Struthio camelus: one gene and its partners. The protein of the gene in region 1 purifies or fractionates together with the protein of each later gene. This does not show direct contact. Links are inferred from orthologs where the notes say so. Each region holds a gene or a part of one and is shown in the gene's direction. Other genes may lie near its edges.

Region 1 (8,162 bases):
GGAGTTTGTCATTACCATCAATGGAAATACAGTCAGATTCTTAGTCCATATGGGTGGATTTACTATGCATTATTTCCTTCATCATAGAAATAGCTATTTCAGAACCCTTTGTATTACACGTATTGTATTACACGTATGATCACGTATTATTAGTAAGTATACTATTATAAATCCACATTTATCCTGTATATGTCTCCCACATCCTATTTTAGAAAAAAAGCAGATAACACTGAGAATATGCAAGCAGTACTGGAGAAAAGAAAGGGGTGGGGAAGATTTGGAAGCGTGTGGTGTTGACCACACTCAGATTTTGGCAGCTGTAGCAGTGCAAGCAAACAAGAATTAGTCTTAGGAGAGACCTGACTAGCTTGTTGTCAAAATAGGAATGGAAGTAGAATGATATGTGTGATGATTTGCCTTTGACATAGATGAAAACATTTGACTTTTGATAATCAGATAATCAACTAATAAAGCCTCGGGCTGTGCTAATTTGTTGGAGTGGAATGTGTTTGGACAGGATGATGAACATGTTTTGATAAGGCATTTGCGAGACATCACGGCTGTGATTGCAAGGAGTTTGGTAAGATATTTGTAAAGTCCCTACAATCCTAACAATGTAGTTAATGTGGAGATGATGTAAATGCAAATGAATCTGATCTCTAAGCAATACAATATAGGATCTAAATGTGTTTTGCAATGTATCGCCATATGTATGTTTAAATAATGTATAAATTAGTTGGCTCGGTTTTTTGAAAAACATGTTTTTGCAATGGTTCTTTGGAGAAGGATAATATGTGCAGTGAAAAGAGGAAGGATCGTTTAGATGCATGTGGCTATGTGTGGAAAAGAGGTGTAACGTGAGAGGACGGGGTAAAGAAGCATTGGGTGTGAGAGACTGAGTAGGAGGATAAAAGATGTAGGAGATAAAAGGGTTGAAAGAGGACAGATAGAGACAAGGGAAAATGTATGTCTGATCTTCAAGATAAGGGGGAATAGCTGCAGTTCAGTACAGTAAGCAACAGGAAGCCAAGTAGTGATTCACATGGCCAAAGCAACAGGAGAGGAGACGACACAGAAGCCTAATTTTGGACAGATTCTCGGGAAAGATAAACAAAAGAAAAGAAAACATTAATACAAAGGTCATAAATGAGTACCAGACTATATATTAAGATATTAGCAGGCACTAGTTGTCAAGGAAATACATTTCTAGTTCTCCAGGAAATACTGGTAGAAAGTCTCAGTTTTCAGAAATTTAATATTATGAATGGGTTTAATTTGTTGTGTTTCTTCCTCAAAAAAATGCCAAATAAAGGTGTCTTCAGCCATGGATTAACCATTTGCCAAATTTAATTTTGAATTAAATGCATTACTGTGCTATGTGAGAGCATAAAGGAGTAAACATCAGTTTGCTCTGTTCAGCTATTGTTAAAATAGGAAAACTGTTTTTTCCTTTGGAATTTTAAGTTTTACATTACATGATTTAGCCCACAGCAAATATTTTTTATGGCTGAATTATAAACTTCTTGAGAAATAAGTTTATAATAGAAGTGCAGACAATCTTCAAAAAAGCATTATAAGCACCAAGTCAAATTGCGAAGCAAAGATGGGCCTGAACCCAAACCCCAGAGCTAGCCACTCCATTAACTTTTACATACACTGGATTCAGATTCAGTCTTATAACACTAACTCATCCTTTCCATAAAATCACATTACTGATGTGAAAATGGAGAGCTGAACAAATGTGTAAGCAGTTGCAGGATCAGGACCCATAATACCGTGACTAAAATGTGAGAAGTGGATTATAAAAAAAGACTTCTGAATGTTTCATTTGATGCCAGTTTATATTCATGATGATTAAAGATTAAACATTTTCAGATAAATATATGTAAACCAAGGACAGAACATCTTCACTCCTCATTTCAGTGCAATTCATACATGAATAGAAACATGTGCCTATGTCTGTGAACCACAGAGAAAAAGATGGGTAGCAAAAACAGACTAATACCATTTACATTATGATAGGAGAGGACATTAATATAGCAGACTCTGCTATATTTTCTAGGGCAGACTCTGCTATATTTTCTAGGCCTTAGGAAAAAAAGCTCCTACAGAAAAAAAAAACCTTGGTGTCAAACCCAAAGTGTCCACGCTGTGCTGAAGAAAGGCAGAAGTCCTGCTTCACGGGCCGCATTCGCCGCAACAGAGGCTATTCCTGGTAAATTGTCTTTGCAGCCTCGTGCATATATCTCTGTGAAAGAGGAGGAAGCAATGATCTTTTAGACTTGAGCATGTTGAAATAAACCTTGGTATATGGATTAGTGGTTACAAGGTAGGTTGAGGTGATAAAAGCAACCTTTGTCGTTAGACTTGACCATTTAGCATATTATACCAGCTTCATTTAATGTAAATAACCTAAAATTAAGTATTTAGTTTTTCTTTCAGAATTTCTTTTAAAATATACTATCTAACAATATATTGTGCCTAAATCTACAGAAAATAACTTGCTAATCTGGTAGGAAAACAAATGGGGAAAAAATTTTTTTTTGTTTGGAGCATACAACTGGGAACAGGTAATTTTCTCTCTTCAGATTCATAGACCCTATCTGATAGGACAATGCTAATCCCAAAACGAGACAGTCACCACTTCTACATGATAAATGTAATTTTTTAATATACACACCCATTGAATTTCTGCTTAATAGTTTTCACTTTCAAAATTAAACTTGGCTTCTGAGAGTGAGCTTTTAACATGAACATGTATGTATACACTTATTCAAACCCTCCAATAAGCTACCATTAGTAGGCAATTTCTGAATTCAAAAATAGATATACTTTATTTAAATAGCAGTATTGTCCCTCAGTCAGTCTCAGACTGGAATGTGCTTCAGGACAGTACCAATTTATCTCAAGGACTGTCCAGCAGCATAAGAGTTTTAACAAGCAGAGAGCACTGTTACTTCTCCCCTTCCCCCTTGTTCTGGGAATTTCACTAAAAGAAAAAAAATTAAAGGGGGCTTAATGTGCTACCCATAAAATATACATCCCAATCAATCAAGAAAATGCATAAGTATTGTATATGATGATCCAGCGACTGCCTAAAGACAGGGAAATGAGACTGAACCCAATAACTCAGCCTGACTAGTTCCAGCCTGCCCAGCTCCCAGCTGAGGACCGTGGCCTGCCTGCAGACCCTGGCATGGGCAGGGGCAGAGACTAAGAGAAGAAAAGAATGAAGCACACAGAGAATATAAGAGGATCAAACTGTGCTTTAGTGCCTGATATTACAGAACTGCAGTCATGGAAGAGAACGGGAATGTCTGGCAAAAACTCAGAAAGTAGGGATGAGAGAGCGTACAGCATGAAACCGGCAGACAGATTTCCTATGGACTTAATCTCCAGACTTCAGCTGACCTTAAAGTCGAGGCTTCAAAAGGGCAGCGAGGGAGAGTGCGGGTGGAAGGCTTAGACTCCAGGCGGGAGACAAAGGGATGGAGGGGGCCGAATCTGTGTATGATTTCTGAACACAGATGTAACACATTTGTAGTTAATCTGTGCGGCTGCAAACTGACAACTATGTTTGAAAATTATTTCAAACATAGTTACATCTCTGGAGTGGACAGGGATTTACTGCTCCAGCTGCCCCAGGAAAATGACCCTGCCTCCTACCAAAGCCGGGCTTTTTTCCTTCTGATCCTTCAGAAAGACTCCAAGTGGAGCAGTTCCAAGTTCTGCTGTGGGTGAGGAGAGTGGCTGACATCCACCACTGGCCACAGGTCATTTTCCTAGCGCAAACCCATCTTTTGGGACCATTTAACACTGTGTTTCAACTTTCAGCCTTCAGAGCTCTTCCTCTAACCCCTGCTCTAGGGAGCAGATTAGAGGCCGCTCCCCTCGACACAGAGGGAGCTCAAAGCACTCCACATAAAAGCAGCAGCCAGGTTCAAATAGGTAATAACTCCCTGGGCGAAGGGGCAGCCTGTAAGGCAGAGCAACAGGGCAAGGAGAGGACAGGCCCTCGCCTGGGGAGCACCAGACCACCAAAGGCACCAGAGGGATTCAAAGCCCGCCGTGTCCCCTTTGTCCCCGGCACGGTGTGAGGATTGCTCAGAAGGAGACACGCACTCCTCAGAGAGGACTTGAGGTCGCGCAGCCTCCCTGGGGAGCAGAGGCGGCCGGGGGAGCCCAGCTGCTCCTCGGGCCCTTCCAGAGGTGGTGGGGGAGATGGGCAGAGTGAGGGGGCAAAGCGGTGAGGGAAGCGGAGGCAGGCAGGGAAGGAGAGCCACGGTGGGGGGAAAGGGGGTGCCAATAGGGGCGGGTGGCAGAGGGTGCAGGGATGCAAAGGGGTGGCCGCGGCTCGGCCCCCGCCAGCGAGGCCGGCAGCCCCTGGGCTGGCAGAGGACGGTGCTGCCCCACGGCGGGGCTCCGGAGGGACAGGCGTGGGGCCGGGTGCCCCCTCGGGGCACGCATGCACTTGCTGGGGAGCAAGCGGGGAGGAAAAGAGCGGGTCCGGGAGGGCCGGGCGGGTGCCCGGGCCGGGGCGCAGGGAGAGCAGGGCAGAGAGGGCAGGGCAGGGCGGCGGCGGCGGTGCGCGGGCGCGCAGGACCCGCGGCGGCCACTCCGCTCCGCTCCGCGCCTCGCCGGGCGCAGGTGGGCGCCGCCCGCCCGCTCTACCTGCCCGCGGGACCGGCCTGGCGGGGGAGGCCGGCCCTCGCCCCTCGCCCCCCGACCGCCCCTCTTAGCCCACCCATCCGCCGCTGGGTTTCGGGGCTGGGGCTCGCTGTGTTTGTTTGTTGATCCTCCGGCGCTGCCGATGTCTTGGGGGGCTGAGGAGGAGGAGGAAGAGGAGGAGGGCGGGGAGGGGGAGGGGACTGGGGCTCGGGAGACGGCGGCTCCTCTGCCTCTCTTATTGCCGCTGAGTTGCGCTCCTCTTCCTCAGGCTGCGAGCAGGAGCCGCCCGGGCGCTTCCCCCTTCGCGGCCGGCCCGGAGTCCCCGCGGCGGCGGCGGCGGCGGCGCGCTCGCTCCCGCCGGGGCAGGTGAGTGCGGGCGCCGGGCGCCGCCGCCGCCCCGGGCTGCCGGCACCGGGCGGGGGAGCGGCAGCTCGGCCGGGCCGGGCCGGGCCGGGCCGGCGGGGCGGGATGCAGTTCGCAAAACTCCTGAGCCCGTCTCGTCCCCGCTCACCGCCGCTTTCTCTTGCTTCTCTCCTCTCCGCAGAGCACCCCCGCCCCGTGCCCCGGACCCCTCCCTGGCAGAGCGCTTCCGAGGTGCCGGCAGCCGCAAGGATTTTTGTCTGTCTTGTTTGTGTGTTTGGGTTTTTTTTTGTTCTGTTTTTTTTTTCCCTCGTTTTCATTTGGCTTTCTAGTCTCCCTGGGAATGGTAGGGGCAGTGGCGCCTGGAGAAGGAACAAGTGTGGGGAAAGGGAGAGGGAGCCGAAGCTAAATGACAGGATGCGGGCGACTTGAGGCACAGAAAGAGAAGCCAGCAGCTCTCGGCCACGGGGACTGCCCTTGCGGACCGTGCTTTCTGCTCCCAACTCCAGCTGGAGGATTTAAGACCTAGGAAGAGTTGTGTGTGGAGGGCTTTTTTTTTTTTTTTTTTTTTTAAACCTCCTTTCGCTGCGCTCGGAAGGGAAGATGGATTGGAGACTTCTCCTGCACTGTGCAGCCCTCACCTTCACCCTCGCCAGGGCTCTGCGAAGCGGTAAGTGTCACAGGGGACGTCGGGTCTCAGCGTAGGCAAGCAGTTTCAGCGCTCGGGCTCCGAGGCTCTGAGGGAGGACAATGGGGCACGGCAGACAATGGGGCACGGCAGACAATGGGGCCGGCACCGACCCGAGCCCGGCTGCGGGGAACTTTCTGCCAAAGGACCGACGCGGCGCGGTCCTCGCCTGAGTTTCGCCCGCCCTGGCATTGCCTTCTCACTTTATTTTCCGCTCTTTGGGGCTGTTGTACAAAGCAGGCTGCTCGTTCTCACAAGATCAGGACCGTCAATTATCTTGATAATGCTTCCTCCCATAGGCAATTAAATAAGTGTCGCCTCCGAAATCTGAAAGATAATGAACACTTTAAGGAAAAGGCTTTTTCTCCCTCCTTTCTTTTCCAAAGGGCAAGATTGAGTATCATGCCTTTTACTAGCTGTGTGTGTACCTGCGGGTAGTCTGCAGACGGAGATCTCCCTAGCGTACCCTTTTCCAAAGTGTGCAGTTTACGTGCAACTTGCACAGTGCCAAGAGAAAAGCTGAGCCTCTGTGTGAAGGCTCAAGACTCCTTTCTAATAGCGAAATCTTCCAACAAATGACTGATCTAGCTAGTTTACTATTAGGCAGCCCGTGAAAACAGAATTAATTAAAAGCAACGCGCTCCTCCTTCCCTGAACAATGCCAGGGCACCGGGAATATTTCACTGCTTGATGCATTTTTAAAGACGGTCTAATTGTGGGACTGTTTGACGTTTAGCTCTCGTTCCAGAAACAGCTCGTGCGAGTTTTCCTTTCCCGACAAATCCTAAGCAATTATTATTAACTAATTATCAAATATTTACTTTTGCCTGACTGGGTTTTAAATCAGAGTAATTAAAAGAAGAGAGCACCCTCCACTTACGCTGGTATATTGTTTTAATAAGAGACCGCAAGTGGAGCCTCTTGGAAGAGAGCGCATTAAAATCGCATGTTTTATGATGGAAGTTAATCTCTTTCCCAATATATTTTGAGGAAGCTGCTTGATTTGCTAAGGACGAGCCGCCTCCCCCGGTGATGGGGCGCAGGAGCGAAGGCGTTACCAGGCGAGCGTCAAGCCGGGCTGGGGGCTGCTGGGCGAGCTGCCCCGAGCCCCAGATGCGGCGGCCGGCAGCCGCCTCCCTGGCCCCCGGAGAGCCCGGCACTGCTCCTGGCTCTGCACCCCTCTGAGCATGGGAGGGGGCGCCCTGCGGTCTTCTCGATCGTTTACTCCCCCTTAAAAGAAAAGTAGAAGGGTGGGCCGCTGGGCAGAACCACTACCTTGAGCGGGTAATGTGGTGGCCCTCCTGGAGTCACCCAGGCCGTTAACCTCCTCTGTAACCTACCAGACCTGCTAATACCTCCTTCACCTACAGCCCATGCTAGTGTCTGCTAAATTAATTCATTAACCTCATTTAGAACTAATGGTCCAAAGTCATTAGAAACTGCTCTTCTTAATCAAGTGTGAGGGAGATTGCACAGAGCCAGGGAGTCTAGCAGACCGTATTATCTTATTACACTGTCACTTTCCCAGAAGTCGGAGATTAAGGCGCGCTGGTGGTAGTGAGTCCACCTCAGCGTCCACTGAAGTGACTCTGTCAAGTGACTAGAAGCAGCACTGCTTTATTTCAGGCATTTAACAGATGCCAGACTCTGCCATGTTGTTTGCAGGGCTGGAGTGGATTTAATGAGACAGGATCACTTTCCGAGTGTGCTTACGGAGAGAGGAAAAGGCAGGATTCTCTGCGAGCCCTAGTAAGGCGGATTAGAAAGATCACCAGTGACAGCTTTTGAGCTTTGAGCTGCAACGCCTTTTGTTCTGGTCAGAGGCAAATAGCCTGCTTTACAAAGGCAAAGCGGAAATAAATAATAAGATAACCATTCCCAGCAACATGCTTAGCAATATCTGTTTTTTGACCAGACAGCAGAATACATATCATCGCCTTCCTTTCTAATTTATGGCAAATAATCCCCGTTAAGGTGTTCAGCTTTATGCATTTTTGATGTGTACTTCCTTGTTCATTTCCATTTGACCTGGTTTTCCTACAATAAAATTCTGTACATTTATAAATTCATGCTGAGAGCAAGAAATGCCATTTGGCTGTCATAGAGAATGTATTAGACACAGCATTGCAGTCTGTACATATAGTTATTGGGATATAGTGGTGTATAGACTTGCTTTTTAGTGCAGACATTCTTCCTGTCTGTAGTTTACTATCATATTTTATTGGTGAAAATTAAACAATCAGTGTGTGGGGAAAGGTTTTCTCCCTGAAGATCTATAGAAAGAAATCCATAGTAGTAAAAAAAGTGATAACACAAGCCTGCACTGGACTGTGAAGTGAGTGATCATGCAGATTAGATTTCTTGCCTCTTTTTATTCTCCCAATAAACCTTAAAATACAACCCTGACAACACTGACCAGAGGAGCAAGAGACAGCATACCAAATTT
Region 2 (7,875 bases), on another chromosome or scaffold:
CCTGGGAGAAGGAGGAGCACATGCCTGCTCCGTGACAGCCCCTCTGCCACCCCGGGTCCCTTTCGCGTGTGCCTCTTCAGTGCCTTTTGCCCGCTGGCCCTGCTTGCGTTGCAGCTGCGATCCCCTGAAAAATGGCTCTATTCATTACCCATTTTAATTTCGCTCTGGATCCCCAGAGCTCTGCAGACACATTTTGTTATCCTGGCTGTCAAGAAGCTTAAAGAGCTGCTGACGCCTCCTGGAAAACTTTGACAAACCCTCTGTTTGGCCACTGCGCTGCCTCCCCAGCCTGTCTGCCCAGGCTTTCGGTTCTCTGGTTCTTTATTAGCAAAGATGTCGATGAGGACAGGAGGAGGAAAAAAACACCCATCGCTGACATTTGTGCAGAACTGATCTGCTCTTGAAGCCTCTTGCCTTCCAGTGGATGTCCTGGGACTTGGTGGACAGAGCTGAGCTGCAGGGTTGGGTGTGAATGTCCCCAAAGCCCAAATATTTGTTGCAGGCTGTTCTCTGGGCAAGCTCGATTTCGCAGAGGAAAAGGCCTCTGGGATGGGGTCATTGAATTTATCTCTTCCCTAAGCATCGCTGTTTAGAGCAGAGAGTTCAAACCTGTGGTGACACATTCTAGGGGATCCATTTTTAGATGGTTCATGAGACATAACCAAGGGAGATGCCTTGTGTATGAAGACCTGCATGCACCGTGCAGGAATTCACATTCCCAAGGGGAAAGCTCTTGCAGTCAGAAATTGAAAACAGTTCAAAATCACAAATTTAGCTGCTTATTTTTAGTCCCCCAGCACTCAGTTGGACTGGATTAACCCAGCGAGCTGAGCAGAACAGCTTCCTCGTCTATTCTGGCTCTCTTCGGCGATCTAATCCTCTCCCAATTAGTTTCTTTTTACAAAGTAGTTGTCAGGCTGCTTTTAGAGAACAAAATGCCCCTCCGTCTCTTCGGTAACATAGGAAAGTGCACCAGACACACCGGGAACAGATTGTCTCTAAATGTAATTTTGGTCAAAGTTCTGCGTAAGAAGTGCAGAGTCAGCCACATGCTTTTAGCATAATGAGAACGAGCCGGCCGAACTTGTAACCTCTGTGGTTTTGGTCCAGCTGAGAACAGAGTCATCTTCTGCTTCAAATCCTTCCTCCCAGCACCCCGTGGAGCTCTGAAATTTTGAGTGCCTTTGAGGTGCCACTCAAGCCAGCTGTCTCCAGGGCATGCGGGAGCACGGCTGAGTCTGTCAGTCCTCAGTGGTTTGTCAGTTAAAGAGGGATGAAGATGCACAAGGGAAGGGGAAAACAGAGCAATTAAAGCTCCATCAGAGGCAGGACAAAAAGGCTAGGCTTTCTGGGCTAATGCGGGCCCCTCTGTAGGGGTGAGGTGCCCAGATCCTGAGGGAAGCGATGTGAGTGACAAGCGTGTCCCCTTGCTCTCAGGTCTTCTTGCTCCCAGGGCACGGTGCGAGATGAGCCGTTAGGCTGGCTGTGTGGAGCCAGTGAGCTTTGCAGCCTGCTGCAAGCCTGAGGCTCCTTCCCACCTTGTATGAACCCAGGAAAATTCCCTGCTGCGCACCCGATCCCTCCCCGACTCCTGTGCTGGGCTCCTGGTGCGGGGGCTGCTTGTTTTTTCTTGCAGTCCTTTTTCATTCCTCTCTCTCTGGGGCGGACCCTCCTCGGAGGAGTCAGGAGGGGGCTGCTAACTGGCTGGAGGTGTGATGGGGAGCCAGGATGGCTGCGTGCTTTTCTTAGCTCTGCCACCTTGATTTTTTGCTCATCGCTATTTTGACAATCCATCAGTCTCTCCTTCAGCAAGAATAAATCGTTCTGACTTCCCTCCCAACCAGAGCTGAGCAGGGGAGAAATGGGGAACTGTCTCACACGGTTCTCGCAGCGGTGGCCTGGTGGCTGGTGCCCGCTGGGTTGCTGCCTTGCCAAGGGCTGGGTGATCCTGCCCTGTGCGCGAAGCGCTTCCCGAGGAGAGGAATAATTCATCGCCTCTCCTCTTGCGCCTGCAGCACAAGATAGTAGCCATGAGACCAAGGTGCCCGTGGAGTGCTCCTGAGAGACAGCACATTAAAAAGCAGTGGTGGGGGATTGCTTGAATATCTTTTCCTTCTTTATACGTTTAAGAGGTTTCACTGTCTCAGTAACTCCCCCAAGAGACCCAAGTAGCAGGCTCTTTGGATGTGAATACCTGACAAGTTTTTAATGTGAAAGGAATTCACTAAATTTAGTCTCTTGGAAAAAAAAAAAAAAAAAGGAAAAGGAGAACTGTTCCTTTCTATCTGGGGGAAGCGATCCAAACCCCAGCCGCTTTCCTGCAGTTAGAGCTAGCTCATTTGTTCTTTTCTCCTCTGTCTCGAAAGCTTTTAAGCTTGGGCCCCATGTGCCTCTCTGTGCACAAATAAGAGGTGGGAGAAAGGCAGGCACTGACACTGCTATCTCAAAGGGAACATACCAATTCCCACTTTCTCCGAGCCTCCACAAGGCAGATGATGACGAAGTTAGGGCAGTGGGATAAAGGAGGGAAGACCAAACCTGAGGAAAAGAACCCTCTTTGGGTGGGAAGGGACCTGCTGTCTGAGGGATAGGGATGTTATCTGTGCTTTCGAGTGGGTTTGAGCGACGTCAGTCTCTAGCACAAGCGGTGCCGACGTCCTAGCAGTTGAGGACGGGGTGTAAAAAGCACCTTTGCTGTGACACTCACCTGAGTTACCTACGTTGCACTACATCTCCTCTTCCTAGCCCTGCCGGAGCCCCCTAGGACCCCTTTTCTTCTCCATTCTGGCTGCTTGAGGGTCACTAGGGGCTTCCAGCAATCTCTGGCTCTCCTTCCTTGCTCTTTCCCAAAAGCTGGCAGCAGGCTCTGCGCTCTCCTTGATGACGGAGGTTTCCTGGTCTCCATGGCTTCACGCATTAGTTATCCTCTTCAACCAGGGTATCGAGCTGTGTACATGCTCTTAACTACTGGTGCATGCGGAGGCAAGCACGCTTGCTCAAACCTCCGTGAAAGAGGTCCACATGAGCACGTTTGCGTGTCTGTGCAAGGTGAGAGCGCGCGTTACGGCAGTGCAGCTGATGTGTGGTGACTCCTCAACTTCAATGGCATGCCTGAGTCGGACGGGCAAAGCGTGTGCCGGCAGTGCGGCCGCAGATCTGGCTGAGTGGCTGCACTGAAGGCAAGTGGGGCCAGGCTGAACAAACCATCTGTATTTATTGTCCCAGTGCCCGGAAACCCCCACTGCCGGCGCTCTGCAACCTGCCCCTGCTACATTGGGAGGTATCTGCGCCTGCAAGGTCATGTGCGTGGCTGGCAGCTCGTGGCCTCGCCCCAGGACGAAGTCACCCGCGCGGACCCCGTGCTTGAGCGAGCCGGCCGGGGTCCTGGTGAGGCGCAAGTGCCTGTAGCTCCATCCCCTGGCAGTCAGATCGGGTAGAGCAGCTCCCTGCCGTTTATATCCCAAACACCGCTGATGAAATCTGTGGGGGTGTAGTCCTGATTATAAACACTTTCTTTATTTGTCTTTAAAAAGGTCACTTCCCAACTAAGAAATGACAGAGCAACAGAGAGACCATCGCTCATCCCTGTAGGACCTAAAAACCCGTGCTGGACCCCGTCCTTGCCTCCGTGTCCGGTGCTGGTGGGCAGAGGGGGCCCGGAGGGAGGCAGACGGCTCCGGGAGCGGGAGGAAAGGGTGGGAAGAGGGGGCACCGCTGCTGCGCGGGAAAGGAAGTTGCTTCCAGGCCTGATAAGAGAGAAAAGAAAAGGAGAGAGCCTAAAGGGGAGAAAAAAAAAAAATGGAAGTGACAAAAGTGGCCGGCATGGTGTGTGTTTTTTGAAAAGACAAATAATCAACTCAAACCGTCAATTAATTTTTTTTTTTTTTGGTTTTAATGGCTTTTATTATTTCTCCCCTTTGTGACTTTATTTTTCAAAGCACCGCAGACGCGGTGCCAGTGTGGAAAGATGCTGAACTGGCAGCTCGGGAGAGCAAAGTCCTGCCTCTGTCCGTCCGCCCGCCCGCCCGCAGGAGGGAGGCTGCGGGCCGTGGCCCGGGGCAGGCGCCGAAGTGGCCTCGGCCCCCAAAACGGCCGCGGACCCTCAAAGCTCGTGGGGGCCCAAAATGGCCGCAAGGCCCCAAGGCTCGTGGGGGCCCAAAATGGCCACGGGGGCTCAGCGCGTCCCGCGGCGGGCGAGCAGCCAGGTGACGCGGGGCGTGTTTCACCCCAAACCCTCCCTCTCGTCCCCACAGTCGTGTTGACGGCCGCCTCCCCCCCCCCCCCAACCCCGCCCCGCTCCCTTCGCGCCCGGACATGGCCGCTCAGGGCTGCGCGACGGGCGGCCGGGGACCACGCTGGCCCCGTGGACGGAGGGAGCCGGGCGGCCGCTGTGCGCGGTGCCGCCGGCAGGGTTGGGGCCGGGGCCGGCTCGGCGGTCGGCAGCGCCGTGGTGGCGGGACCGGCGGGGGGGGAAAACGTGGCTGCTCAGGAGAGTCCCGCGGCCCCACCCGCGCCGTGGCCGCTCCTAAGTCACCTCCCTCCCTCCCACGCGTGTCGCCCCTTTAAGAGGCGGGGCGGGGCGGGCGAGCCCCCTCCCTCCTGCCCTCCCCCTCCGCGGCGCGGCCGAGCTGTGGCGCCCCCTGGAGGCGCGGGCGCGGGCGCCGCCGCCCCTCCCTCCCTCCCTCCCCCGCCCCGCGGCGTGCGCGTGCGCGGGCCGCGGGGGCGCGCGGGCGGGCGGGCGTTCCGTCGGGGCCCCGCGCCGCCGTCCCATTCATGCGGGGCGGCAGCGGCGGCGGCGCGAGCGCGGAGCCCCGGGTGGCGGCGGCGGCGGCGGGGGGAGGGCCGAGAGGAAGAGGAGGAGGAGGAGGAAGACGAAGAGGAGGAGGAGGAGGAGGAGAAGGGGGGGGGCCGGCGGGCGGCTCGGTGTGGAATGCAATTATGGCTGGCACGGCTGAGGCGAGCGGCGATCCACGGCGTGAGTAACCCGATTGCAACTTTCCTCCGCGGGCGCGGTGCGCGCATCTGCTTTTTGTGCGTGCTGGGGGCGGGCGGGATTGCGTTTTCCCCCTCATTCCCCCCACCCCTTAAAAAAAAAAAAAAAAATCAGGCGAAGAGGGGCTTGCCCGGGCAGGGCACTGCCGGGCCGGCGGAGCCGCCGCGCTGCGGGAGCGCGGGGCGGGCCGGGCCGCGGCTGCGGGGCCGGGGCGAGCCCGCATTGCGCTCCGAGCGGCCGGGGCGGGCGGCTCCGCGGCTCCCGGCGCTTGCAGAGGGAGGAGGAGGAGGAGAACCCCCCCCCCCAACCCCCTTCTCGGGCTCGCCCCTCTGTCCCCCCGCTTCGCCCCGTGCGTTTGGCAGGGCGCCGTCGGGGGGTGGAGGGGAGCTGCTCCTACCCTTGGGGGGCAGCGCCGACCCGGAGCGCCGCGGGCTGCAGCCAGCGGTGATTTTTTTTGGGGGGGGGGGCGGAGGCACGGCAGGGGGTGCGGGCGGAGCAGCCCCCGCCGCCTGGCCGGTGCCTCCCGGCGGGGCGCAGCCGCCGCATCGCCCGGTACGTGTCCCCCCGGCGCCCTCCCCCTCGCTGCCCACGGGCGACGTGAGCCAGGGGCGCCGCCGGTCCCGGCGCTCGCACCGTCGCGTCGTGGCCGCCAGCCGGGGCGCGGGGCAGCTGTCGGGGGGCCGCGGAGCCTCGCCGGCTCTGGTCCGCGCTGCGGCCGCGGGGGACGCGGTGCCTGCGGCCGGGGAGTTGCGTTGAAGGGCGGCGAGAGAAGCCGCGGTCCCTGGGCGTTTGGTGGCCCTCACCCCTCTCCCTTGCGTGCATCCGCCCTGCTGATGCCCGCAAACACACGCGGCGGCGGCTCCCAGTGCGCGAGCGGGGAGGGATTTGCGAAATCGCTGTGGCACGCTGAAATAAATCCCGAAATCCCGTCTTTTACCTTGTCCCCCTGGCGGGGGAAAAAAAAAAAAAAATCTTCCTTCTGCCCCCGGTGAAGTGCTTGCCGAGCGGGGGGAGCTGCTGTGTAAACAGGACTTAACATGAAGGTCACTGGTTAAAGAGGAGATGGATGGGAAAGAAAAGACAGGCATTAACCTCACTTGTTAGCTCCCCCCCCCTTCCCCGTGCTTTGGGGAGGACAAAACAAAAGCAGGACCTCCTAACACGCAGATGAATATTCATGGTTCTCGTATGCTCTGGGACACGCAGGGGAGAAAAGTTGGGGAGACGAGCTGCCTTTTCAAAGCTGCTTTTTCCTCGGGCTTGAGATAAAATCCCTGCTGGCGGAGTGAGGTCTGTATCGGAGCGAATTATTAGTCTTTTGCTGGATTTTTTTTTTTCTTTTGTGGGAAGCTGCAAAAAAAAAAAAAAAAAGGAAAGAGGAGACAAGGCTATTGACTACATCAAAGGTTATCCATTTGAAAACACCATTTTCCTCTGAACAGCAGCTAATTGCTTCCTGAACAATCTCAGGGTCTTTTGTATATACTCAGTGGGTAAAATGAGTGACTCGATGCATCTCTCTCAAGACACCGGAGACCGAATGTGGTGGAAACGTAGAGAATCTGGGGAAAATCAGTGGGCCAGAAGACTCGCGGATGATGTGCGGATAATTTCTTAAGTGGTTACAGAGAGGGAAGGTTTTTACTTCTGCCTGCTTGCCTAGTCCCAGTCTTCTGATATTAGTAAATTATAGCGCTGGCAGCAGCGAGACAATACCGGGCTGTGTGGGTGGTGAGGAAGTTTAAATTCAGCGTATGCGATCGTACGGCAGGGTGAAATACAGGCAAGAAGGGATGGGGATCCAGCCCTTCCCGGTCCTGGTCCGGGTGCGTCTTAGAAAGTCCCAGTGCCGCTCCTTAGGGAAAAGCCATGCGCTCGGATTAAGCGTGGGCAGATGTGCCTGGGGATGGATGGACGGACGTTCTTCCCCGGTGGAGTTGCAGGGAAGCAGCGGTGGGGGGCTGGTTGGCTCTTGCACCGTTTGGTGGCTGGGCTTTCTGTGCTGCCCTTGGTACTCTGAAGATTAGTTTTGATGGCTTTTTTTTTTTGTTTGTTTGCTTGTTTGTTGTGGTTAGCGCAGCAATATCGGTTCAGGGAGAGAGATCGCTCGTAGCTGGAGCTCTTCGGGGGTGAGGCTGGAGGAAGGGCTGAAGTTTACCCTCTTGGCCCTTTTTCACAGACCCAAAAGATTTGGAGTCGAGCACGGGAATCAACCTTCGTGCCCCTTTGGGGCTGTGCAGGTAGCCACGGAAAACAGCCCCATGCTGCTGTCCGTAAAACAAAGCACTCTTTCCTGTTGGAGGCAGAGGGCCCTGAAAAAGATAAGCAAACTCCTCCTAACTGTAGCGGAGATGGGACGGAGGGATGTGCGGGCGGTTTAGGGAGAGAGCTGCGCTGCTGAAATGGAAGAGGGTAATAAAAGCCGCGCTGCTGCATGCTGGCAGGGCTGCCTCCCCTCCTCCATGCCGAGACGCGCCAGCCGCAGCTCCGGCAGCGCTGGGAGCCGCTGGGGCCGGCCCCTGCTCTGCCTCCCGGGTGCAAATGTCAGGCCGGGCAATGCATTTCCGTGGCGTTGCTGCGCGTTGCACATCCGTTGAACAAAGGAAAGAATCTGGCCCTGGGATCGGTCTTAATGAAGGAGACTCGTGCGTGTTTATTCTCCCAGCTCGGAGCAGGTCAGGGCCTTTGTTGCCGTCTGACTTGCTCCCGGCTGTAGCGTCAACCACCGGCGGGAGCTTGGCTCAGCCTCGAGCTGCGAATTTGTGAGCCGAGGAGCCTGGTGTTGCAGTGCTCGTGCCGTCAGGCTCCCTGCAAAGTCAGGGGGAGTCTTGCCTACGGGAGCAGACCTCTGCTGAATCCCACGGTGCTTTTATTTTGACTGC
Region 3 (7,683 bases), on another chromosome or scaffold:
GCTTGTTTTACTAGTATGTCTAAATATCCATTAGCATTCTTCTGAATTTATAGTGAAAACGAATGAGATCAGGCACAATTTTCTGCGTATATTTTCTCCCTTCACCTCTGTGTTAATTTTTCTCCCCTGTATAACTCATTGCTGATTATTAGCTTAGCTTCCACTAAATCTCTTTCAGAGGCTGGCATTTTAACTTACCAGCTTGAGTTCTATATTGTTGACATATTAAATTGCAGAAAGCAGCAAAATTACCACAGCCTGAGTTCGCACTGTCTTTTTTTTAAGACATTGCATGATATGAATAAATCATGTTGCCAGCCTGCCACGATGCATTAATGAAGATGCATACCCTCTTACCCTACCCTCTTACTGGATGTTAAGTGAGAACCTTTCCACTGTCTTTTTTCTCTTCATTTTCACTATGGAAGAAGCTTTCTAATTCTGCACATCAGTTTGCTTACCAATCCTGCTGTTGCCTAACACAATAAAAATCAGTTATATAACTGCCTTTGCTAGACGTTCACAGAACATTCACCGAGATGGCATGATGGCTGCAGCATCTTTATGCTTTCCACTGTATCTCCTGTTCACTATTATATGTGATACACTCTGCTTTTAATATCGACCATTTTATTTTTTGTCACTTCTTGACATCATAGTTTAAAATAGTACATACCTAAATCTAAGATCATAGCCTTGCAAAGACAAAGTAGAGAAAAAAATATGTTCTGATTTACTGCCAAAAAGACTGATACTATAGCATTGTTACCTCCAAAAAAAAAAAAAGCATCACCTACACAGATTGTCACATCGTATTTTTAATACTCTAATTTTGAACCAAATTCTTAAAATAACCTGTGTTTGCAGATTACCAGCTGGCCTTTTTATCTGAATAATGTCCTGATTAGTGAACTCCCTCTTATCAATCCAGCAAGTACGGGGTGTCATTGTTCACCTCATTCACAATTCATCTTTTAATTAACAGTATCACAGGCAAAAATCTATTTTGGTCAGCGTAATTTGTCATTGGAATTGGCAGTACAGAAATAAAAGAATTACCTTCTGAAATTATCTGAAGACAATGTAGGAGATGGTGACTGCAAACCTACCTTAACTAGCACCAGAGAGGAAGGGAGGGAAACCACGTAAATGACTATGGCTTTTAACAATTTTATTTGCAATGTAAAAATCACTACTTTGGTCATTCAGTATCTGCTAGGCAAACTGTTCTGTCAAAATTACTGTTATTGAAAATAGAAACCTGAATCCTACTCTTAGACACATGCTTTACTCGTAAAGGGCTGCTGACTTACAGAAGTTTGAAGAGAGAGATACAGATGTCTTTTCAAGGTTATGATCTTAGATATAGGTTTGCAATAAAGCAACAAAATGCTGATCATTTGCTTTAATAGTTAAACTTTGAAATTAAGTTACAGCTACAGCACTGCTTTAGAGAGTAGACAAAGAAGTACATTTTTTAACTACTACTTTTATTTTTTGGTAGCAGGAGATGAACCTTTCTTACTGAATAAAATGCAATTCTGAATCCATCTCTCAAGACTTAAGGTGTCTGTCTAATGACATAAGAATCCATCAATGTGGGAAAAATTGAATAACATTTTATTTATCTGGGTCTGTAAAGAAGACATCTGTCCCTACAGTCTATATAGACATTTGTCTGTTTATTTTCAAATCAATGCACTTAAAACAACTGCATTTAAGGCACAGTCAACATACCACCAAACCAGCCACTTAAAAACTCCCTCCACCATCCCTTTACCTTATGACGGCTTCCATTCCTATTCTCAAATGCTGTGGAGGACTTTGCAACATGCCCTGAAAATGGTCAGATTCAAGGAATATTCTGCCAAAAAGACAATCAGTTCTGTAACCAGACCAGCTCTTCAGAGCATGCTCTACTGGAGGCCCTTTCTGTTTCAAAATAGCTAGACCTCAGCTTGGCTGCTGCTGGTGGCTTCTGTTACACTAAAGTGGAGAGGCAGTTTTGTAGGGTGGAAGATCCTGTTTTGTTAGTAGCTTTTAAAACAGTTTTTAGATAGGGACCACCAGTCTCTACTGTGAAAATTAATATTATATAATAATATAATATAATAAATTATGTATATTTACATTGTTTTTAATGAATGCAGCTTGTATTAAACATACCGGAGGCTAACTAACTTACTCGACCCCTCCTGTTCATAGTGCCATTTAGTTATTTTAATGGCAGAGACAAGCTGGTGCTTACACAGGCGCATCAGAAGGTCGAAGAGATATAACAGATATCTACAGCTTTACAGCCCTGATTCTGTAGCTTTCTGTGGGCTATCTTGTGTGTTGAGAGCAAGATGAAACCCAGAAATACATCACTGAGAGCAGGGAAATGCTATGAAGGTTTAATAATAACCCCATTAACATTAAATCCTATGGATTTATTTTCTTCAGTTTTTATCTGATAATAGACCTGGGAAGAATTAGTTTTTTTGGCAGAAGATAAAGACAGTTTGGCTCCTCAACCTTAAATATTGTTCCTGAATTTGAATAATATCTAATCATTATGAAGTTAATGGCACAGACTAAAAGTTATGAAAATTTCTATCCAAGGTTATAAAAAAGTATACCTAAGAAGTTGTTAGGCTGAAATAACGGCTTTGCAAGTTTAGTTTATTTTTGGGTCACCCTCCTTTCTAGGTAAAATAAGATGCCTTTCGTATTACTGGACCACTGGGTTTTTCTAACATTTTCTACATGCAGCCGAGGAGAGATCATTAAATCATACAGCTTTCTTTTACCCTCTGCCTTCTTCCAGACAAGTGCAATCTTCTGTATTCCTTGTGCATTAACAGCACATGAATAAGAGGCAGTGAAGATTTTACTGATCTTCTGAGGAATACTGAATTATTTTCTCTGTTCTAAGAACAATTATGCAAAATGTGGAAAACAAAAATAAATGAAGTAGAAAGATGTACCCTTTATATAGTAATGATACAATCCGACAAAAGGAAATTAAGATTCTCCTTAGAATATTAAGAGGTGAAATTAATATTCTAAAGGCCATGCTTTTACGATTCTCTCATAGCTCTGGTGAAAAAAAAACATCTTTTTCAGTTCTTGCAAACAGCCTCTCCAGAGATGTGTGTTCCTTTCATCTCCAAAAATTAACCAGAATTCACAAACAAATTAAAGTATGTAAATGCAATGGTTTCTAAACAAGAGCTGGTAGAGTACGCCTAGTAGGGAAGCGTGCGCTGCTGCCCCCTGATGCGAGGAACGTTAAAGCCGTTCAAGGGCCGCCAGCCAACGGCGCGCTGCCCAATTTCTTTCTTTCATTAGTGTATGGCCCGAAATGTATCTGTTACTTTTAGACAAAAATAAGGTAATGGCTATCCCCTGAGTAACTCAATATTTATGTTGTTAGTTGAGGAGAAGGAAGAAGAAGAGACCAAAAAAAAAAAAGAAGCAAAACAAGCAGAAAACCCAACTGTGCACAACCACCACGAGAAGCTTTTGAAAATCGTTAACAGGCACAAACTGCTGTTTAGAACCCACTTTTAACGCATGCTTTTGTTGTAAATCACTATCACCTGGCAATGGTAACATTTACGACCATCGCTGACTAATACTTCACGCAATTGTAGCACAGTTTGTCTTGCCACTCTCCTGTCTGTGCATCCACCTCTTGCACCCTGGAGCAAATCTGGGAGCGTAAGCTGGCTGGAGCAGGGGCTTCCTTGGTATTGTCTGCTGGTGTAATTTCTGGCAAACCGGGTCGCCATCTCTGCGTAGGTGCCCAGACGGTGCCGGGTTCAGGCCGGCGCAGAGAAGGGCGGCAGGGCGGCAGGCCGCGAAGGCGCCCTGCTAGGCCAGGGGGGCGGCCGGCCCGTCCGCCCCCGGGGCCGCGCGCCTCCTCTGGGGCTCGGGGAACGAGGGCCGCTGCGAAACGGGATTTAGAGCTTCAGCGATTTTTGCACTTTGTGAAATTGCTCTTTAAGCCGTAGCTCCAAATCCATGTAATTTGCAGGATTGTTTTTTCTTTCCTTGAATAAAGCAGTTTTTCACCTTCCTGGCTGACAGGCAAGGGTGACCAAAGTGCATCTGAAAAACTTAACCAGAAGGCAAACAATATTGGCGTGCGTGTGTACCGGGACCGAAGTCCAGGTGTCGCGGGACGACCCCCGCGCCCGCGGGGGCCGGGCGAGCTGTGCGGCCTGCGGGGACTGCAGGGCTCCTCCAGCCCGGCCCGGCCACCCTCTCCCCCCGGGCATCGCTTTGAGTTAGAAGGGAGGAAGCAAAGGAGGGAGTGAACCGGGCCGGGCCGGGCCGCGCCTGCCGTGGCCGGGGAGGGCGCCGCCTCCGAGGAGACGGGGAGGCGGCGTGCGGGCGCCGCGGAAAGACTACAACTCCCAGCGTGCTCCGGGGGCCGGCGCGGCGCGGTGACGCGGAGGGCGGTGACGCGGAGGGGGCCGGGCGGGGCGGAAGTGGGTTCCCCTCGCAGAGCCGCCGGCCGGGCCCGGTTCCGGGTGTCCCTTCCTCGGCGCGGGGCGGGGGAGGGGAGAAGATGGCGGCGGACTTGGAGGCGGAGGTGCAGGCTATTGACAAGAGCCTGCTGGAGTGCTCCGCCGAGGAGATCGCCGGGGTGAGGCGCCGTCGCGCCCTGTCGCCGGGCCGCGGGGGCGGCGGCGGGCCCGGGGCCGAAGCGCGCTCGGTGCCTGGCGGCGGCGGGGAGGGAGGGAGCGGGGGCTGCTAGGCCGGCGGTAACGGCGGCGGGGCGGGGGGGGGGGGCAGTACAGCCGGGCTGTGAGGGCTAGAGGGGCCGTGCTGGGGAGGGGGGGGAGCGGAGGGGGCAGAGGGGCTTTCCCCGCGGGGGTCGCGGGCTGGGCGCTGCGAAGGGCGCTGCGGGCTTGAAGCCGCGTCGCTCTCCGGCTCCAACGTGCTGTTGTCACCCGTGTCGCTCTTGCGGCAGCCTGAACGCAGCCGGCTTTTCCTGTTGTGCGGGCTTGCTCGGGCGGCTCGGGCCGGGCCAGCCCCGCGGCCGCAGCGCCCGGCGGCGCCAGGGCACCGGCCAGGCAGCAGCGGGGGCGGCGGGGCCGCGGCCTGGCCTGTGGGAGCTCGTCCCTCGGGCTGCCCTTGCTTCCTGGCCTTCTCCACGCAGCTCGGGAGTTTTGTGCTGCTGTTTTGCTTCACCTCTCGCTGTCTTGAAACGAGAAGAGCCTCCCTGTTCCTTAGCCTGTTAATTTAAGTGGAAGCCTCGTCCCATATACGCTTTGCAAGATTGAGGTTTTTATTACAGGGTTCCCGCTCCCCACCCCCTCCTTTTTTTTTTTTTTTTTTCCTCCTCTCCAGTATATAAGATGCAGTTCTGGTGAAAGCTTATCCCAGTTAAGTTTGGGACTATTAGGATGGGAAGCTTGTGGAGGAAATAGCTAGTAGAATCAGGGTAATACTTGAAGTCACCTACTTTCTTATATAGACTTTTCCAGCATTTGTAGAGAGTAGCAGGAAGGTCAAAGAAGGGGAATCTTAAGGGTAAAGTTTTCAAGGAACCATTTTATTTTTGCTTCTGAGGTAGATGCCTGATCTTATAGGTACATTTAGGTGCATTTGAGGAACTATATCTATACGTTTGTGAACATATTGGCGTGCTTTGTGTGCGTTTCTGTAGGATAAGACGTCAGAGAGCTTTTTCGTGTATTTTAATGAGAGTTACATTGTCTCCTTTCCAAAATAAAATGAAAGACAACGTTGTAATTCAGGTTAGCCTCAGATTACTGTCGTATATCTACAGTGCAGAGACAAAGGTGTGATTAGGTAGGCAAATGTGCCCAGTTAGCTATATCCTAGCTAGTTTAGTTCAGTGTAGGTAGCAGTATAGGTTTACGTAGGTTCATCATTTTTAGATGATTTTCTAGAGCATGTGTTAGTTACTTACCTGAGCTAAAGGCACACCAAATGGCACATGTCTAAGAATCTGCCATAGGTGCAAGGTCTTCTTTAAACTTAGTCAGTTCTTTCTCATTTTTCCCCCATAATCACCAGCATAAGCTACAATTCAGCGATCTGTTCGTTTCAGACCCACAGTGTGCTAGCAGTTAAATGCTATTGGCACTCCCTGAACGTGTAAGTAAACAGCACAGCTGGTCTTTAGGTCTGTTTTTCTCCCTCCTTTGCTGATAGTATTACTTTGCTGATAGCACAATACTAACAAAATAAATGCCAGTCCAAAGCTATAGTTATAGTACTTTGCATTTCAGTTTCTTATTGCAACAAGTTAACTATGAACCTCCAAAGAACAATAATCAGAAGAATAAATGACTGTCATCTGTAACAGAATATAAGCCTACATTGCAGATATTAATTTATATAGCTAACCAAAGCCATAAATACGTAAGGTATGCCATTTAGCTCTGGAAGTAGTAAATTGAGTTGTTTCATGACTTTTTTTGTATCGTGCATTTTGTTCAGCTATTTTGTCTCTTAATTAAATGTAATTTAATAGAAACTCTGATGGACCCTTAGGTGTTTACTTGTATGAGTGTTATTTAAACAATGTTTTTTGATTCTATTTATTTATTTATTTATTTATTGGCACTCAAAAGTGCAGGAGAATAAGTCAGGGGAGGAAATGAAGGAGGATACATTTCCCTTTTTATTAAAAGAATCTCATGGCAGGGTAGAATATTAATTTTTCCTACGTGTCAATTCAGGGTAGAAGATTAGGCAAGTTTTCAGTTAGTATTTGTCTAATATGAAATACTTAGGCCAAAAAATAAATTCTAAAGTTTTGAGTAGTTTTTTACTGGGATTCAGTGCCTCTCAGGTATCAGTCCGCTAGCAAGTTAGCATAGCTTTCAGTTTTGTTTTGTTATTTTGTTTTGTTTTACAAGCACTCTAAGGGACACCAGAAATGCATCTATTTCCTTGTCCTAGCAGTCCACATTTCTTTCCTTCTGGTATTCTTTTGGCCAGGATCTAATACTCAGAACTATATGCACAGCTACGTGTATAGAATTCAGTTCGTGAAGAGACGTAGGTGTGATGACATCCAGTGTTGCCACACCTAACTTTCAGGCAAGTACTGCTGGAATTTTTGGGAAGGGAAAGCTGTTTACCTGAGGAACAACAATTTTCTCTGGCTAGGTATTTGTCTGAGCTTGTAGTGTAACTAATATGTGCTATATCTTTTCTAGATAGAAATTACTAAGGTACTTCAGATTTAAAAAGTTGAAATTAAAGGCATTTTGCTAAGAACAAAATGCAAGTATTTTAACTAATACGTGCTCTAGAAAAATCATCTAAAAATGATCTTACTGAAGAGAGATGATGGAAGACACTAAGTTGGTTCCGCTGCAGTTAGGTCAGTTCCTCGTGCAGCAGTACGTCTTTGGCACAACTGATGGAAAGAGACCAAAAGATTCATGAGCTAGGGAAAAGGATGCAAATTCTTAGCAATGAAAATGTTAATGTTTCCATTTTTGTGGAGTAGTCTCTTAATCCTAATGGGAATAGTGAGATTCACTGTAAACTTCTGGATCCTTAGATAGGGTCTTTTATGGCAAGCCTTTTCCGTAGGCTTATTTGGAAAATTCCTAGTTTTGTAACCATCAAAACTAGATCAATTCAAAAACGTTTAGTAGATTGATTATGATTTTAAGCCAAACTTAGGGAAAGAGAAGTGAGGAAAGC

Evidence for each region.
Region 2: the proteins of NRP1 (region 1) and PLXNA1 purify together in Homo sapiens (affinity purification with western blotting; 4 studies listed by BioGRID). This does not show direct contact. The link is inferred for Struthio camelus from reciprocal best matches to the Homo sapiens genes NRP1 and PLXNA1.
Region 3: the proteins of NRP1 (region 1) and UBR2 purify together in Homo sapiens (affinity purification with mass spectrometry; 3 studies listed by BioGRID and IntAct, counting the BioPlex papers as one, with this or other methods). This does not show direct contact. The link is inferred for Struthio camelus from reciprocal best matches to the Homo sapiens genes NRP1 and UBR2.

The regions. Positions count from the first base shown.
Region 1 is NC_090943.1:16,657,683-16,665,844, forward strand, and holds the start of NRP1 (neuropilin-1), read left to right. Parts: upstream 1-4,863; 5' UTR 4,864-5,034; intron 5,035-5,212; 5' UTR 5,213-5,631; coding exon 5,632-5,698; intron 5,699-8,162. UniProt on the Homo sapiens protein: Cell-surface receptor involved in the development of the cardiovascular system, in angiogenesis, in the formation of certain neuronal circuits and in organogenesis outside the nervous system. Mediates the chemorepulsant activity of semaphorins.
Region 2 is NC_090955.1:7,871,853-7,879,727, forward strand, and holds the start of PLXNA1 (plexin-A1), read left to right. Parts: upstream 1-4,861; 5' UTR 4,862-4,975; intron 4,976-7,875. UniProt on the Homo sapiens protein: Coreceptor for SEMA3A, SEMA3C, SEMA3F and SEMA6D. Necessary for signaling by class 3 semaphorins and subsequent remodeling of the cytoskeleton. Plays a role in axon guidance, invasive growth and cell migration.
Region 3 is NC_090944.1:112,908,739-112,916,421, reverse strand, and holds the start of UBR2 (E3 ubiquitin-protein ligase UBR2), read left to right. Parts: upstream 1-4,423; 5' UTR 4,424-4,558; coding exon 4,559-4,636; intron 4,637-7,683. UniProt on the Homo sapiens protein: E3 ubiquitin-protein ligase which is a component of the N-end rule pathway.